Kluyveromyces lactis: one gene and its partners. The protein of the gene in region 1 purifies or fractionates together with the protein of each later gene. This does not show direct contact. Links are inferred from orthologs where the notes say so. Each region holds a gene or a part of one and is shown in the gene's direction. Other genes may lie near its edges.

Region 1 (4,325 bases):
GCTGGTTTATCTTGCTGAACGATTGGTCCCTCATCTTTTGAAGGAGTAGCAAGTTTAGGGGCAGATTCTTGAATATAACTACCGACACCATTATTGATGTACTCTTGTTTTACAGTCTTCGAAAGATTATCATCATTTTGTTTACTTTTGTCATTACCGTTACTTTCAATCGAATTGGATGCCATTTCCGATAGTTTGACACGTGATTCGTCCTCTTCTAAATCCATCTTTTCGGTCTCAGCGTCTGATGAGATGTATATGTCCGATAGAGAGACTGAGTTTGGATGTTCTGGAGAAGTGACCTTAGATAATCCACTGGTACTGTTATCGTCGTATTCTAATGTACCAACCTTTGAGGGACTCCCTGATTTCGATTTCCTTGAATAACTATTTGCGTTAAAATTAACAGAATCAGAATCCGAAGCAATCTTCTCTAAAACTTCTTTGGTAAGTTTCGTAGTGGGGGCAGATCTGGTATTATGATCGTCAATCTCACTCGCAGCCTCTACACTGTTATTTTTGTTTCTCTCTGGCTCCATTTGAATGATTCAAAGATAGTACCGTTTGAATTCAAAAAGAAAGAAATCCCAACGCATATAACCAATACAACCTTTGTATTACTCCAATCGGCTGATGGCAAAGAAAAAACACTTAGCTTATACTCCAATGCAGAAACACACAAAATTTAACCAGCAAACCGTTTAATATGCGCAGTATAAGTTAAGAATTGCTGCTTGAATAGATTGAAAGTTGATACCTGACACACTAAAACAAAGGGCTGCAAATATACCTTACTTCGCGTAATTCTTATTTTTACTAGCAAAACAGTTATCTCTCTCTATTCTTAGTAGTACACAATATTTTAAATCACGTTTGGATGAGATCTATGTATTGATTGCTGACTGGCCATAACTATATGTTCATGCTAAAATCAGACTGTATTTTTATTCTTAACTTATATTTCGGCATTTCAGCACTATTTACAGTTTGTACGTTTTTTAAGGAAAAGGAACATGATGTTACCCGGCCATATAGTACATTCCACGGTGTTAATCACGTGACTACGATACATTCGATTTGTCCATAGAGCGTACGCTTTTCTTCCGCATTTCTTTTTGGTGGTAAATTCATGATTTCTGCTGGCTTTTCTAGGAAGTGCAGGTTTTTCACTTTCGATAATTCAACAGACAAATGGATAAAGCTCATCGCATCGAAGAGACTTGGACAGCCACCAGCAGGTTTAGTGCAGAGGAATAACGTTTGTGTTGGTGAACCAGGGTCTTTCAAACATAACAAACCAAAATTATATTACGGGATGTCCGCATTGAACAATTTATTTGGAAATTCCAAATCAGACGCGGCAGGTACATCATCGATTGCAGCGTTATTCTCCAAACCTAATCATGTCGATGAGCGTAAAGTAAAGTCGAAAGCTAGGACTGTGCTAACTGAGCCTGAACAGGATAAGGATGAACAAGAAGAAGAGAATGTCCAGGAAAGTGCTTCTACTGTCTCCGAAGGAGTAGAGAAAGAACAGGAAGAACAGGAAGAACAGCCGAAGAAGAAAAAGAAGAAGACCAAGAAGAATGATGAAGAGAATGATAATTTGGAAGTTCAATATTATTCTAAGGTATTAGGTGATTCTAAATCTAAAGATGAACCTAAGGATGAACCTAAGGACGACTCTTCCGATAGTGATAATGAAGATGAAGCAACTGCAGTCGATAAGTCTTCGATTACCGGCACGGAATCTGAATCTGCTAAAGTTATCAATTTGAAAGAAAAGGAACTAGCCAAGGCTGAGAGAACAATTTTTATTGGGAATGTACCAAATGAGGTTATCACATCAAAGAAAGTTTACAAAGAATTTAAGAAACTTCTCTCCAAGGATCCCCGTAGCGAGAATGATGACCACGATGACGGAGAAGAAGACGAAGAAGAAGAAGAAAGTAAGACAAAAGATGTTAAGTTTAATGTGGAAAGTATCAGATTCAGATCCATTGCATTCGAAGAAGCATTGCCAAGAAAAGTTGCATTTGTTCATCAAAAGCTTCACAAATCTAGAGATTCGATCAACGCATATGCCGTATATGGGAGCTCCAATCCGGTCAAGATTATGTGCCAATATCTGAACGGTAAAGTGTTCAACGACCATCATTTGAGAGTGGATTCGGTTACACACCCCTCCCCACATGATAAGAGAAGATCAGTCTTCGTGGGTAATTTGGATTTTGAAGAAGTGGAAGAAAGTCTCTGGAAGCACTTTGAACCTTGTGGTGACATTGAATATGTTCGTATTATTCGTGATTCAAAGACGAACATGGGTAAAGGTTTCGCATACGTTCAATTTAAGGACTTCCAATCAGTGAGTAAAGCGTTACTACTACATGAAAAGAAGATCCATGAAGGTAAGAAGGCCAGAAAGCTAAGAATTTCTAGATGCAAGAATATGAGAAAGGCCCAAGGAAACCAATCTTCCCTACAAAATAATAAATTAAACGACCAACAAAGGACAAAACTGGGAAGAGCTAAGAAGGTGTTAGGTAAGGCTGATAGGGCTAAGCTAGGTGAAGAGTTGACAATTGAGGGTTTAAGAGCTTCAAAGGGAGAAACCACCCCTGTACTAAAAAGAACAAAGAACAGATCAAAGACAGGAAGAGTTACTAAGCGTTCGATAGCTTTTAAGAAACAAAATGCTCAATAATGGAGCACAACCTTAACAATTATAGTATAGTGTACATATGGATAAATAATCCAACTTTTCAATAAGACAGACACTTGTTGTATCTCCGATTTGGCTTGCAATTGGTCTTGGTGCTTCAACTGGGGAATTACTGTCAATTATTGTTCCGGGTAATCTCTTTTGTCCTATTAATTCTTTGACTATTCGATATTTTATGCTATATACCGGAGAACCTTAAATGTGATTCGTTGGCATAAGAGACAGCTCGTGTTAAAAATAAGTGGCATTTCGTAACCTAACGCAGCCAACACCTATGCGAAGCTTAATGTTAGGCGTATTATCTACAGAGAAAGAGGGACGATAGATATAAAAAAATGAATGGTTTGAAGGTCGAATATGAAATCGATAAATTAATAGAGATTGTGGATGAGAGAGACAGGTTAATGGATGTCCTTCACATGCAACCATCTAAAAATGATAACATAAAACTTAAGAAACATATAAACCATACACTTGATTTGCTCAAAGATTATGAAGATGATGTACCCTTTTCTGAAGATGATAGATTTAATCATCAGATTAAAACTTATAATGATATCATTGAAGGCTTGCCAGAAACAGTCATTGACAAGGAACTCTATAGATTCAAAAGAAAGCCTAATCTGAGAGAAACAAAGAAGGTACGGTTTAAAGACGGATTAGTTGAAGAGCATAAAGAACCCGAACAGAAGTTTAAACCATATAAAGATGATGAGTCTTCATCTACAGTTGTAGATGATTTATTGGAGGTCAAGAGAAAGGAATTATTTGGAAATCAAGAGACAGGAACTCCAAAATACAATATTTCTCCACAAGTTTCAAATCAGGATATTTTCATTCAACAACAGCAGCAATTGATGGAACAAGAGAGCCATCTAGAAAACCTGTCAAGTTCTATTAATAGGACACAAGGAATATCTATCGAGATTAACGATGAGGTAGAACAGCAAAATGAACATCTCTTAACGGATATTGAGCGCCAAGTAGATCGAAGTGAAAGTCATTTACAAAGGGCTGGGAGAAGACTTAATGCTTACGAAGCAACAGCTCGTGAGAAAGGCCCTTGCTTCCTAATTGTGATTCTTTCTATAATACTATTCCTTTTAGTTATAATTTGATATACGGAATGGTATTGGAGAACAAATATTAAATTAAAATGGTGTTTTAGAATGAATAGGATACATGCTATTAAATACTATTCTTAGAACTGAAGCTCAAATAACCAGAAACAATGAAAACCCTTTTCCACAACAATTAATATCATTTCGAGCAACTAAGTGGAAAACTTTATAGTGATTAATAAGAAACGAACAACGTAGAGAATCTGAATGCTAATAATATTATTCTGAATAAAAGGAAAATAAACCGGAATATTACCATTTGTTATTGATGGTATGCGATCCTCCAAGACTATTGGTATTATAATTGTTGCTGCTATTGCTACTGCCATTTTTCATACTTCTACCGTAATAGCTTTGTTGGTTATCGTTGATGTTAAAGGACTGCTGGACGTTATTGGACAGCAGATAAGGGTTAACTTGCTGTTGTTGCTTGTGCTGTTCCATGCTATTGAAGTTCTGCCCCGTATACACATGACGGGTGT
Region 2 (4,496 bases), on another chromosome or scaffold:
TTCTTTGATTAAAATTGGCGCCAATCTCTTTGATCTCAACTTCTTGTGCACACATAAGAAGTTAATTTCGACACTACGCACATCATTACCTCTAACTTGTAAGTTGGTTGGGATAGCGCTGATAAAACCAACAAGTCTCTTGGTTTCTTTAACCCTGACACCGACTTGCCATTCCTCTTTCCAGCCAGGTGGTTTCAACCCCCAATTCAAGAAATCACGGGAATAATTGAATCTGAAGGTAGAGTCTTTGTCCTCGACATAGTTCTCATTCAATAACACGTATACGTCTTCCAACTGTTTTTCGTCATTAACGTCAACGGTACACCACTCGAAATCTCCCAATAATGGCAAGGGTGTGTCTGGAATATCCTCTGGTCTCTTACTGGAATCAATAGGCCCCTCTTTCTTGATCACTTCATCAAATTTAGTAACCGGCTGAGTCTTCCAGAACTTATACTCGTTCATATCCTTACGTTGTTGAGAGGTGAACTTCGACAAATCACCATCATGGACCTTCAAAAGTTTCAACAACTCTTCCAATTTCTTAGATTTATCTTCTTCAGACATTGTGATATATTATTTCCAGCGGAAAAGACGCGCGTTCGCAGCTACCTTAAGGTCGATCGGGGCAACAATAGCAGTACTAACAAAAGTCAACCGCTGTATCGCCTATTGTACTTCTTTTGAAGTCGTTTCAAATGTCGTTTCCCATATTGACAAATCCTAGCTCAACGTTTTTTTTTTTCAGATTAACCTGAGCGGTGTCATCAAGTCGCACATTTTGCAAACAAAATTACATATTAATGATAGAGAACATTCGATTCAAGATCATCAAGCTGCTATGACAACTATCATAAGGGCTTAATTGTTTGAGATTTATAATTGCGGCTTAACTGCAGTTGTAGATGCCATTAACACCTTATTCCTTTCCGTCTGCGCTGTTTCAACAGGGGTCGAATCCATCTACTTTCTTTTTTCTTTCGAGGTTAGCGATTCGAAAATTTTCTAACATGAGATGAGATGAGATGAGATGAGATGAGATAGGTAGTTGATAAAACTGGGACTGGTTTATGGTTTATAGGCTGTTTGTATTGATACAGGGTGTTCTTATATACCAATTAATCAGTGTATTTGTTTGATAAGTGGAAGTATCACCATGTTGTCTGCTACTTCGTGGGTACCAAGAGGGTTCGCGAGTGAATTTCCTGAGAAATATGAACTTAACGATGAAGAGATGGAAAGGATTAACGAGTTGGCCAAATTGAATTTAGATGAGGCCAAACATGATTTAGAAGAGGCTCAGGAAGCTGAAGAAGGAGGTGAAGAAGTTACAGAAGAAGTGGAAGAGCCAACTACTAATGGTAACGCATTGAAGGACCAATTGGCAGTTGATGACGATTTGAAAGAATTCGACTTAGAGCATTACGATGATCCAGAAGATGAAGCCAACGCCCAAGATGCCATGTTCATGGGTTTATCCGAGGAAGTCAAATTTTACGAGGGTGAAGAAGGTGAAGATCCTTATATTTCCCTTCCAAAATCAAAGGATGACGTGGAAGAGAAGCAAGAATTACAAGTTTATCCGACTGATAACATGGTCCTAGCTACCAGAACTGAAGATGACGTTTCTTACTTGGACGTATATGTGTACGATGATGGTGCCGGGTTCCACGATTCGGATATTCCATCAGAAAAGGGTGATGAACAAGATCCTGATGTGGCGCGTGGTTTAGTTCGTGATTCTTCGTTGTATGTACACCACGACCTTATGTTACCAGCCTTCCCACTTTGTGTTGAATGTTTGAATTACAAGCCAGGTTCAAACAGTGATGAAACTGTTGCAAATTTCGCTGCAGTGGGTACTTTCGATCCTGCCATTGAGATTTGGAATTTGGATTGTGTTGATAAGGCTTTCCCTGATATGATTCTTGGTGAACCAACAGATAACTCTATCGCCTTACCAACTAAATCAAAAAAGAAGAAGAAGAGCAAAAGCAAACATGTGACAACACATCACACTGATGCCATCCTATCTCTAGCACATAACAAACAGTTCAGAGCAGTTTTAGCCTCTACATCAGCAGATCATACTGTCAAATTATGGGATTTAAACACAGCAACCGCCGCTCGTTCGTTAATCAACATCCATTCAAATACCAATGTGTCAGCATCGCAATGGCATCCATCAAACGGTTCTGTGTTATTGACTGCTGGTTACGATTCTCGTGCTGCATTGTCCGATGTGAGAATCGAAAACGACAACGATATGTCTAAATACTGGAACGTTTCATCCGGAGAGGAAATCGAATGTGTCCGTTTTGCTGATGAAAACATCTTCATTTGCGGTACTGATAACGGTAACGTGTACTCTTTTGATATTAGAAATGGTGCCGAATCTAAGCCAGTTTGGACTTTGAAGGCTCATGATGCAGGTGTTTCATCTGTCGAAATCAACAGACATATTCCAAATATGCTGTTAACCAGTGCTATGGGTGAAAAACCTGTCAAATTATGGAAATGTCCATTAGACGCAAAGCCTGGTAAAGGTCCAAGCATGGTACTAAGTCGTGATTTCGGTGTAGGAAATGTATTAACCACTTCATTCGCACCAGATATTGAAATTGCAGGTAATATGGTTGTTGGTGGTGTGAGCCCCGGTCTAAAATTATGGGATGTGTTCACAAACAGATCTGTTAGAAAGAGTTTCCAACCAGAGCTTAAAACCTTACAACAACGAGCAAGAGAAGAGGCCATAGCTCTGGGGAAAAGTTCAAGAATCGCTAGAAAGTATACCAAAAACGACAACCCAGAAACTGTGCTCACTGTGGAGGATCAAAACGATGAGGAAGAAGACGACGAAGAAGATGAAGATTAAATTCTCGTCACACAGTTTCACTATTGTACAATATATAATGCATATTCCTAATTCTCTATAAGGATAAAACAGAATTAAAATGAACCTCCAGTCAAAAATCTCTAGACTAGTTGCAACATAGTACGTCCTTTCTAGGTTACTTACCCATTAATACATTTTCGGCGGCGTATATATCCTGTATGAACATGTACTAATAAAAAAGAGACATTCTGCCAACGAAATTTACAAATTATGATCTTACAAGGCTTTTGAGGAGTTTGTTCTCCAGAGTTTCTGATTCTACATCGATAACGGTCACTTCTGTACGTTTAAAGTTTCCCTGTTCCCTATCAGCAGAAAATGATATACTTCTGTCGGATTTACGTCTTGGTCTAATAAAAGCATCACTGATCCTTCGATAAACCTGCGGAGAGTAACGGTAGTGTGTATTTGTGTCTTTGGAGGAAAGAGTAATGGGCCTGCCATCATGATCCATATTTTCATCTTCGTTTTCACTAGTTTTTTCCGTAACTGCCTCTTCCTCGCATTTTAACCCTTCAATTACCGATTCAATGCTGTCAACATGACCGTCATACACAACTTGACACATTTGCTCGTATCTAGTAGCAAAAAAATCTTGATTCCAATCAAAACCCTGTGAATGAGCCATCGAAATCACATACTGAATCCTTTCAGAAGAACTATTGCCATTATTATCATATCTTCTTGATCCGTAGCTGTCACTGACTTCATAGGCGATCCCTGTTTCACTAGCCAACATGCTAGATGATAGATAAAACTCCCTCATAGAAAAACACAAAGTAATTGGGTAATGTTCAGATCTGCTGCAGATTGGATAAACTTTAGACAAAATATAACTCAACACACCGTTGCATTCGGCTTCATAACAAGATACCAGTTCTTTATATTTCAAGGGTTTTATGCCTGACTCTTTAAACCTCTAAACTACATCATCGGGAACAAAAGACTTTTTATCACGTGACAGTTGGTTCTCATTCGTTTAAAGGGGAATATTCATGATATTTGTTACCCGGAAAATTCAGTAAGTACACCACAGTATAACGCCCGTAAGATAGAATAAATATTCAAATATGTATATGGTGATCTATGAAACAGCCACGTACAATATGCAAACGAAGAATAGCTGTATATCGGTTTTAACATATCAGTTCAATGCAATCATAGTTATAGTACAAGTAGATATAATATTGTGTTTCAGGTACACAAGCCCAATGGAAAGAAAATTAACTATCTAAGCCACCTGTTTTCGTTGATACTATTTATCAAATCATCGAATCCTGAACTTGAAAGCGTCAAGAGCTAAAAGACTACAGTATGAGTAGAGTTTTGAGCAGGCGAGATATCGCTGATAGGATTGCTAAGGGCCAGACGATTGTAATATATGAAGATTCGGTCCTGAACCTGGATAAATGGATCAAGTTTCACCCTGGCGGTGACAAATCTATTTATCATATGATCGGTCGCGATGCGACCGATGAGATGAATGCATACCATGACGATCAGACCATAACAAAATTTAAGATATGGAAAATTGGCCGCATTGATTATCCATGGGAGAATATGCTGCCTCCGATTCAAGGTGGTAGGTTTTCGAAGATTG
Region 3 (5,249 bases), on another chromosome or scaffold:
TACAGCAGCACCAGAATATGGTTCTGTGTTGTTTTGTTCCAAGATTGCTGATGAAGTAGTTGTATTAGCGCTGGATCCCGTCCTTGTCGAAGAAAAGGACGGTCTTGCTGATTTATTCGCACTATGGGGTATTCCTGTAAATCTGCTGTCGAATGATGACATTGAGTCCCTCTTCAAAGGTGCGTTGGTCGACCTTATCTATTGATAGAATCCACTCCATATTACTTTTTAAAGGTTTCTGATATATATGAGAATGTAGGTTGATAAATTGAAGATAATTGATTTAATGAAATTTCATACCAAGACACATAATACATAAGGAAGGATAGGAGAAAAGGCAGGCCAATGATACCTCACGTTACAATGTGGAACTTTACTGTGTTGATAAAACTCTCGTAGTTCGATAGATATATAGACTGCCCCTGAAAATGGATCGAAAGGAGCCAGAAACAGCTTTAGACTGTAATATGATGGTGCTTTTATGCCTTATAATAAATATTTCCGGCTGTGAAAGTACCTTTAGAAATGAAATTGAACAAAAAAGAGAAAAAACATATAGTCTGATCTGAAACTATTACCATAGAAGGCATTCCACTCGTAATTGCACAAATTTTTCTTAGCATGACCAACAAAACTCTTATCACTCCCCTAGAACCTTTTAGTTACATGGTTTCCACCATTACAGATATGTAATTATTATACCTCTTTAAGAAGATAGAATAACTGGCTAACAAAAGCCCTTAATAGTTAAGAAGTATGTCATGCATTCAAAAGACCCTAATCCGTGGATACGGTTCAAACAAACTCCAGTGATAACAACGGAAGATCTGTACAACGTTCCATTATTAAACTGTCACTGCATCAAAGGCGCGATTACATTTCGTCTATGTCGTTTTGATTTCTTTTTTTTAATATTGAAAATTTTCAAAAATCGATGCGATGAGATGAGATGAGATGAGATGAGCTTTAGCTACTTAAGTGCTGGATCATTTGTATTGGTATGCTAACACATTTCTGAGCTTTGTTGATTCTAGAAACCAAGTGCAACTTTCTTAATTCTGGTAAAGATAAGTCTGGTTTACTTTCTCAAACAGGAAACAGTTTGGTATAACATATTTTGTATCTTTCTCTGAATTCTTTTTGCTTTGTGCTTTCTATTGGCTTTATTGGTTTCTATCTTCACAGAAGACAAAAACAACAACAACTTGGGAACAGGAGCTTCAATAGTTTGCAAGACACTTCAAGAAAAACATAGGTTTACATCTAAATTGCTAGGTGTAATTTGTTTTGAAAACAGGCATATCTAAATACCGAAAAAGATCACAAACATGGTTGCTCCACAAAGTAAAAGAAAGAGAGACGATGAGTCTCCTTTAGTAAGACAGGATGCTACCGAAGCACCAGCCAAATCTGCATTGAGTAAATCCGAGGAAATCTCATTTCCAAGAGGTGGTTCTTCTGCTTTATCCCCATTGGAAGTTAAGCAGGTTGGTAACGAAGTGGTTGCTGATGTTTTATTTGGCAAGGATGAATCAGCTACTGGTGCAGAGGGCCCAACGAAGAAGAAAAAGAAGAATGCTAAGAATAATTTTGATCAAATTACCACAGGTGATGATGAAGAAAAAGAGGACAAGACTGATTTAATTGAGCATTTTGGAATGAAACAAATGACCAAAGGGACCATTGTCTTGGGTCAAATCCAATCGATCAGCAAACATGAACTGAAAATATCTTTGGTGGACGGTTTGCATGGTTACGTCTCATTAACAGATATCTCTGAACAAATGACCAAGATTTTGGAAAATTTGGACGAATCCATGGAAAGCGATGATGAAAAAAATGAGGACTCAGAATACGATTCTTCAGATGATGAAAGCGACATAACAACTCCTAAAGAATTACCTGATCTCAATAAATATTTCAAAATAGGCCAATGGTTGAGGTGCATGGTACAAAATAACAGCGCTTTAGAATCAAACAAGAACAAAAAGTTAGACTTATCCATCGAACCCTCTGTAGTAAACGTGTTTGAAGATGATGATTTAGCTAAAAACTGTCCACTACAGTGTTCGTTGAAAAGTATAGAAGATCACGGTGCCATTCTTGATATCGGTATTGAGAACTTAACAGGTTTTATCTCAAAGAAGGATATACCTGAATTCAGTTCTTTGTTACCAGGTATGGTGTTCTTAGCTACAGTGACGAAAAGATCTGGTAGAACTGTAAATGTCAACTTGGATTTGGCCAGTAAAAACACCAAGGTCGAAAAGATCTCTTCCATAGATGCCATCGTGCCGGGTCAATCGATTGACTTTTTACCTCAAACTATCACAAATCACGGTGTTATCGGTAAAGCCTTCGGTCTAATAACTGCATTTTTGCCATTGCCACATTCCAATTTCTTTACGGTAGAGGATTTGAAGCATCACTACTCCATTGGTGACTTAGTCAATGCTAGAATTTTGGCAACCACTATAGTGAAAAGCGGCGATAAAGTTGCTGTCGTTTCCACACAACCTCATATCATCTCATTGCATCCAAAATTACAGGAGACCGAAGCGTTAGAATCTTTCCCCGTTGGCTATATCTTCGATTCTTGCACAGTTAAAGGCAGGGATAGTCAATTTTTCTACGTATCAATCAACAATGAACAGGTGGGACAAATTCATTTGTCAAAGGCAGGAGAAACTGAACCAACGGGAACTGTGAAAGCAAGAATACTCGGCTATAACAATGTAGATAAACTTTACACATTGACGTCTGATCCAGCCTTACTTGATGTCAAATACCTAAGATCGTCCGATATTCCAGCAGGCGAAGTTTTGAGCGCTTGTGAGATTGTCACAGTGTCAGGAAAAGGTATTGAATTAAAAATTTTCAATGATCAATTTAAGGCATTTGTTCCTCCCTTACACATATCTGATACCAGACTTGTGTATCCTGAAAGAAAATTCAAAATTGGTTCAAAGGTTAAAGGTAGAGTTCTCAATGTCGATTCTGTGGGCCGTGTCACTGTGACATTGAAAAAGTCTATTGTAAATGCAGACGAAGAATCTGTGACGTTAGTCTGCAAAAATGATGATATTCAGACTGTTGAAAGTCAAGAATTGAAAACAATTGGTACTGTTGAAATATTCAAGCCTAATGGTTGTGTTATCTCGTTCTTTAATAATATCAAAGCTTTCGTTCCAAACAAAGAAATTTCAGAAGCATTTGTAAAGAAACCACAAGAACACTTAAGACTAGGACAAAGTGTTTTGGTTAAAATTTTGAATCATGACTTCGAAAGAAACAGAATTATTGCTTCTTGTAAAATTTCAGCAGAGTCTTCTTCCAAGCAAAAGAGTGCTATTGAATCTTTAGTTGTCGGTAAATCTATCATCGATGCAATTGTTATTGAAAAGACTAAAGATTCCGTCATCGTAGAATCTAAAGATTCAGGGTTGCGCGGTGTTATTTACACCGGCCATTTGTCAGATGATAGAATTGAACAAAACAGAGCTTCGCAGAAAAAGTTAAAGATTAACTCTGAAGTTAGAGGTTTGGTTTTGGACAAGGACATCAGGACTCATGTGTTCAACATGTCCTGTAAAAAATCATTGATTAAAGATGCTGAAGACGGTACCCTTCCTTTAAGTTTTTCCGACATCAAAAATAAAGACAAAACAGAACCGATGCATGGTTACGTTAAATCTGTTTCTGACCGTGGTGTTTTTGTTGCATTCAATGGTAAATTTGTCGGTTTGGTTTTACCAAGTTATGCAGCAGAAACCAGAGATATTGATATTCATAAGAAATACTACATCAATCAATCCGTGACCGTGTATTTATTGAGAACAGATGAGGAACATGAAAGATTTTTATTGACTATTTTAAAACAAAAGACCGATGTTAAGAAGATCAATTCATCTGTAATTAACCCAGTCGACAAGTCTATCAAAGATTTGTCGGACTTCACTATCGGTAAGGTTACAAAGGCTACAATTACATCAGTTAAGAAGAACCAGCTTAACGTTACGTTGGCTGATAATGTACATGGTCGTATCAGTATTTCTGAAGTTTTCGACAGTTTCGAAGATATCAAAGAACAAAAGGCACCATTAAGTGTGTACAAGAAAAATGATTCACTCTCAGTCAGAGTTATCGGGTTCCACGATATTAAAAGCCGTAAATTCTTACCAATTTCTCACACAACATCCAAGAGCCATCTAGTCGAACTGAGCGCAAAGCCATCTTCATTAACTTCTCCAGTTTCCGAAAAGAAACTCAAGGACTTCACTCCAGAGCAAACAACCTTTGGATTCATTAATAATTATAGCAACGATACCGCATGGTTGACTATCACTCCTACTGTCAAGGCCAAACTACCAATCTTTGAGATCTCAGATGAAGGTCATGACTTTTCCTTACCAATTGAAGAGAAATACCCAATAGGTACAGCTGTCAGAGTAACCGTCAAATCTATTGATACTGAGCATGATTCACTAGTTGTTTCTGCTAGATCGCACGCCATCTCCTCTATTTCAGAAATTAAAGAAGGCGATGTTCTACCTGCTAGGGTAATTTCTGTTCAGGATACTTACGTTTTATTGTCTTTAGGTAAAGATGTTACTGGTGTTTCATTCATAACCGATGCTTTAGATGATTATTCTCTATCGTTGAAAGATGTCTATGACTCCAAAAAGAAGAACATTGTTTCCGCCACAGTTTTGAATGTTGACATAGACAATAACAAGATCAATTTATCCTTGCGTTCTTCTTCTCCAAAGGACCGTACCATCATCTCCTCCTCTGAATTGAAGAGAGGTGATATTGTTCGTGGTTTTGTTAAATCTATCACTGACAAAGGTGTTTTTATTAGTTTGAGCAGTGTATTGCAAGCATTCGTTCCAGTTTCCAAGCTTACGGATGCCTTTATCAAGGATTGGAAGAAATTTTTCAGAAGAGGTCAAAGTGTTGTCGGTAAGGTTGTGAACTGTGATAATGATGATCGCGTACTATTAACTTTGAGGGAATCTGAAGTCAACGGTCAATTGAACGTATTAAAATCATACTCTGATATTAATGTGGGCGATATTTTCCAAGGTTCTGTGAAGAATGTTACTGACTTTGGTGTTTTCGTAAAGTTGGACGGTACAGTCAACGTAACTGGTTTGGCCCACAAAAGTGAAGTCGCTGACGCTAAAATAGATAATTTACAAAACCTTTTCGGTGAAGGTGACAAAGTTAAAGCAATCGTCTTAAAGACC
Region 4 (3,884 bases), on another chromosome or scaffold:
TCAATAACGAGATTCCATGTTTCCAAATGAGTTTATAATCGTCTAATTTCACCAAATGGCCCATAAGGAAGTTTTTCAAATAAAGGTCTAAGTAAGTACCATGTTTCCAAAACTTGAGGATCTCGTCCACGATCTCCTGTGATTTATCCTCAAACAATTCACAAACTTTACAGAAAACGATCAACTCTTGCTCATTCTCAAAAGGTTTCAAATCGCTTGTCAATTTATATGTCAACTTAGGTAAAAGATCCAATTCCCTTTCGTTAATGTTATCTTTATCCAACTGAAACCATACTACAGTAGCAATACTGTTCCAGAATTGGAACAATCTCGATTTCGATTTTTCATTGACTCGTGGCATCTGGAAACTACTCTTACTCAAATGTCTCCAATTTAAATCCCTCAATGACTCCAAGAACCAATCATAACATGTCTCCGAATTACCGTATTTCATCATTGCTCTTTCATAAGGTTCCAATGCACTGGTGGTGTCAAAACCTAATTCCAACAAAAATCGATGGCACATTGATAGCGATTTCGCATCGCTTGGAGGAGATTTGGCATCCAAGATCAACTTTAACCCATTTTCAAAACTATATTTCGCAGGAGATTGCCTGTACTTGACATATTGCTCTAACACTTTGTAATAAGTGGCGGATGGGTACCGTTTCTGCAATGATGCAACAAACTGTGAAGCTTTCTTAAACAGTTCCCTATCTAATAGCTGAAAAAGCTGATGATCTTCAGAGTTCATATCAACAGTTTCCACTCTTCGTGTTGGTCGATATCAAATCTAACAGATCAAACAGCAACGAACACCGTTACTGCCAGACATACCGGGTTGTTCTACGAACGACGTGCGTATGAGGTTGTTCATTAGAAGTTTGAATGCTGAATTAAGCCAATATCGTAATTTTTCAGTCTTGATTACCCGGATAATAAACTATAACTGTATGTGTATCCATAAATGTAAACGGCACAGCCTAACAAGGGCATCAGCGCTCTTACTGCTTGAAATATAAACGCAAGACCTCACCATACAATCCCCACCCGCGTTGAATCTGATAGAAGCCAGTTGGCAGACGATACGAACATTTTCTTTTCGAGAAACTATCCTTTTCTATTTTAAATCATCACTGATGAGCCTTAGTTTCTTTTTCGGTACATTGAAAATTTTTGAAAAGTTAGAAAAGGCGATGAGATGAGATGAGATGAGATGAGATGAGATGAGAAGAGGTATTGAACAAGGTTGTCCTGATCCTTCCAATCTATACATCGTCGGTCTAAACACTTTGAGATTATTGTATTACACTTGAGTAGTTGGAAGGAAGAAAAAGCCAAGAACTGCTAAGCAAATCCTTCTATAATGTCGAGTATTTTCAAGACTTTGTCTCGTAAGGATAAAGACGGTAAGAAGAACAAAAATAATGCGGCTAACAGTGACAGTAATGAGAAACAGTTCATGAATAAGCAACGTACCTTACTTATTACGTCCAGAGGTGTTACTTATAGACATCGTCATTTGGTTCAGGATTTGAACAGTCTTCTACCACATTCGAGAAAGGAACCTAAGTTGGACACGAAGAAGGATCTAGGACAATTGAATGAGATTGCGGAATTGTACAACTGTAATAACATTATATTCTTTGAAGCTAGAAAGCACCAGGATTTGTACCTATGGCTATCAAAGCCACCAAATGGACCAACAATCAAGTTTTATTTGCAGAACCTACATACCATGGACGAATTAAACTTCACTGGCAACTGTTTGAAGGGATCCAGACCAATATTGTCATTTGATGGTAGATTTGATTCTGAACCGCACTACCGTTTAATTAAAGAACTTTTTATCCATAACTTCGGTGTACCACCTCAAGCTAGAAAGTCCAAGCCATTCATTGACCATATCATGTCTTTCAGTATAGTTGACGAAAAGATCTGGGTAAGAACGTATGAGATCTCGCATGAAGCTAGGAACAACGTTGAATATGAGGATAAAGAAGAAGATGAAACGTCGTTAGTTGAAATTGGCCCACGTTTCGTGATGACACCGATTTTGATCCTTGAAGGTTCATTTGGTGGTCCAAAGATCTACGAAAACAGACAATACGTATCGCCAAACTTCGTTAGATCTCAAATTAAACAACAGGCTGCCAAGGAAGCTAAGACCAGAGCCGAAGCTGCTGTTGAAAGGAAACTAAAGAAGAGAGAAAGTGTCTTGGCTGTAGATCCATTATCCAACGATGCATTGTTCAAAGATTAAAGTACAATCCAGAACTCTAGAAAAAATCATGATTTATATATTGTCAACTTAGGAGAACGGCGTTCTTCCTGCTCAGACTTGTACATATGTATACTCCTATATATATGCTTTTGAATGGGCTGTTTTTGATAATATAATTTTTCGTTTTATTCCTAACTATACTATACGTTAAAGTCGTACATGAATATTTAATTTATTTAGTTAACTTGGGGGGCCAGAATACCAGTTAAACTTGAAGCGTCATGAAACGTCATGGGGAAAACGTTTTTACATTTGGTGTGAACCACAGTGTGCTGTTTGAAATGTTTTTTTTATCATTTGTTTGAATTTTAATAGATTTATTAATATTTTACTTGCCCAATGCCATTGCATTCTTCTATTCCCCAAATACGAAGATGTTATGCGTAGTAATAACAAATCATACTGTATAATTTTCAGGAAACGTGAATTGAACAGTCAAGTGGGTAGAATTAATAAGGAAGTAAAAATGTCCTGACTTTTATCTTTAGTGCTTTTCAGCGTTGGCAGTATGCTTTTCCAAGTAAGCCTTGATGAAATCTTCCTCACCCTTAGAGGAAGTAGAGTATAATGGCTTGGCTGGTTGCTTAGACTTGAATGGGTTTGGAATAACCAACAATAATACAGCACCTAAAGTCCCTAGGGCCAATTGATGTGGTTGAACAGTTCTACCCAAAATTGTGTATGCAGCACTCATCGTATATCAAATTATTTTCTTGGTCTATATTCTAACAGAGTGAATCTCGAACAAAGGTGTATAGGATACCACTAATAACGCATCTGATCCAGTGCAAAAGTTCGCTCAAAACCGCCTTGTTCTTTCTAGTGAGAAGAATTCGAAACTTTGAAATTTTTCAGCTTTGAGAAAGGAAATCCTGCTTTACACGCTTTTTAAGAGTAAATCGCTCAGAAACAGACGTAGCATATTCTTCAACACACCCATACACCTCACACAGTTTACTGGACCAATCATGTAAGAGCAGCTCGTATAAAACTGGTAAAAACCAGAGAGTACACACAGTTTAACGTATGTTTACTGCTGAATTCTGTCAACTGGATACGGAAGACAATAGAATGGACACATAATGGTCTCAATACGACAATTCAACGGCTCTTAGAAGGTGAGTTATTCTTGACATTTTCATGGCTCTTCGAGCATGCTTTCTAAGATGACGCGGAAGGTGAAAAAGATTAGAAAACGGCCATTCACGTGAATATCACGTGAACTACAAATTCATGATATATTACCGCCAATAGTATTGGTGGTTACCCGATCGTATCGAATGTACTGACTTCGAAAATATGAATAGTCCTCTTTAAAACAAAGGGTTTTCAGTGACCCTTACTCCATCATCTCCTTAGTATTTGGTCTACAGACTGCCATTGCCGTATATTCAGGGTAGTAGTCAGTACATCGGTGTCTGCCATGGTTTCGATAAAGTTTCTTTTATCTTTATACGGCTGGCTATCTGTCACTTTAGCCATCTCGTTGAATGCCGTTGTTGATAGTTTATTCTCGAACAGTTTCGACGGGAATAACAACATCGAGGATCATGAAACTGCAAATTATAACACTCAGTTTAGTGTCTTCAGCTCAAATATT

What was found. Proteins that work in one complex are often made in the same cells at the same time.
Region 2: the proteins of NOP12 (region 1) and PWP1 purify together in Saccharomyces cerevisiae (affinity purification with mass spectrometry; 4 studies listed by BioGRID). This does not show direct contact. The link is inferred for Kluyveromyces lactis from reciprocal best matches to the Saccharomyces cerevisiae genes NOP12 and PWP1.
Region 3: the proteins of NOP12 (region 1) and RRP5 purify together in Saccharomyces cerevisiae (affinity purification with mass spectrometry; 3 studies listed by BioGRID). This does not show direct contact. The link is inferred for Kluyveromyces lactis from reciprocal best matches to the Saccharomyces cerevisiae genes NOP12 and RRP5.
Region 4: the proteins of NOP12 (region 1) and BRX1 purify together in Saccharomyces cerevisiae (affinity purification with mass spectrometry; 3 studies listed by BioGRID). This does not show direct contact. The link is inferred for Kluyveromyces lactis from reciprocal best matches to the Saccharomyces cerevisiae genes NOP12 and BRX1.

What each region holds. Positions count from the first base shown.
Region 1 is NC_006042.1:733,268-737,592, reverse strand, and holds NOP12 (rRNA-processing protein NOP12), read left to right. Parts: upstream 1-1,315; coding exon 1,316-2,704; downstream 2,705-4,325. Other genes in the region: Rpd3L histone deacetylase complex subunit DEP1, read right to left, coding at 1-539; SYN8 (syntaxin), read left to right, coding at 3,058-3,840; KLLA0_F07755g (uncharacterized protein), read right to left, coding at 4,096-4,325.
Region 2 is NC_006041.1:1,732,087-1,736,582, reverse strand, and holds PWP1 (rRNA-processing protein PWP1), read left to right. Parts: upstream 1-1,156; coding exon 1,157-2,875; downstream 2,876-4,496. Other genes in the region: glycylpeptide N-tetradecanoyltransferase NMT1, read right to left, coding at 1-567; UGX2 (Ugx2p), read right to left, coding at 3,105-3,662; KLLA0_E19471g (fatty acid desaturase), read left to right, coding at 4,211-4,496.
Region 3 is NC_006038.1:728,522-733,770, forward strand, and holds the start of RRP5 (Rrp5p), read left to right. Parts: upstream 1-1,328; coding exon 1,329-5,249. Other genes in the region: YPK9 (putative acid anhydride hydrolase), read right to left, coding at 1-162.
Region 4 is NC_006041.1:1,577,368-1,581,251, forward strand, and holds BRX1 (ribosome biogenesis protein BRX1), read left to right. Parts: upstream 1-1,366; coding exon 1,367-2,263; downstream 2,264-3,884. Other genes in the region: MDM20 (Mdm20p), read right to left, coding at 1-754; KLLA0_E17821g (S10 family peptidase), read left to right, coding at 3,708-3,884. UniProt on the Saccharomyces cerevisiae protein: Required for biogenesis of the 60S ribosomal subunit.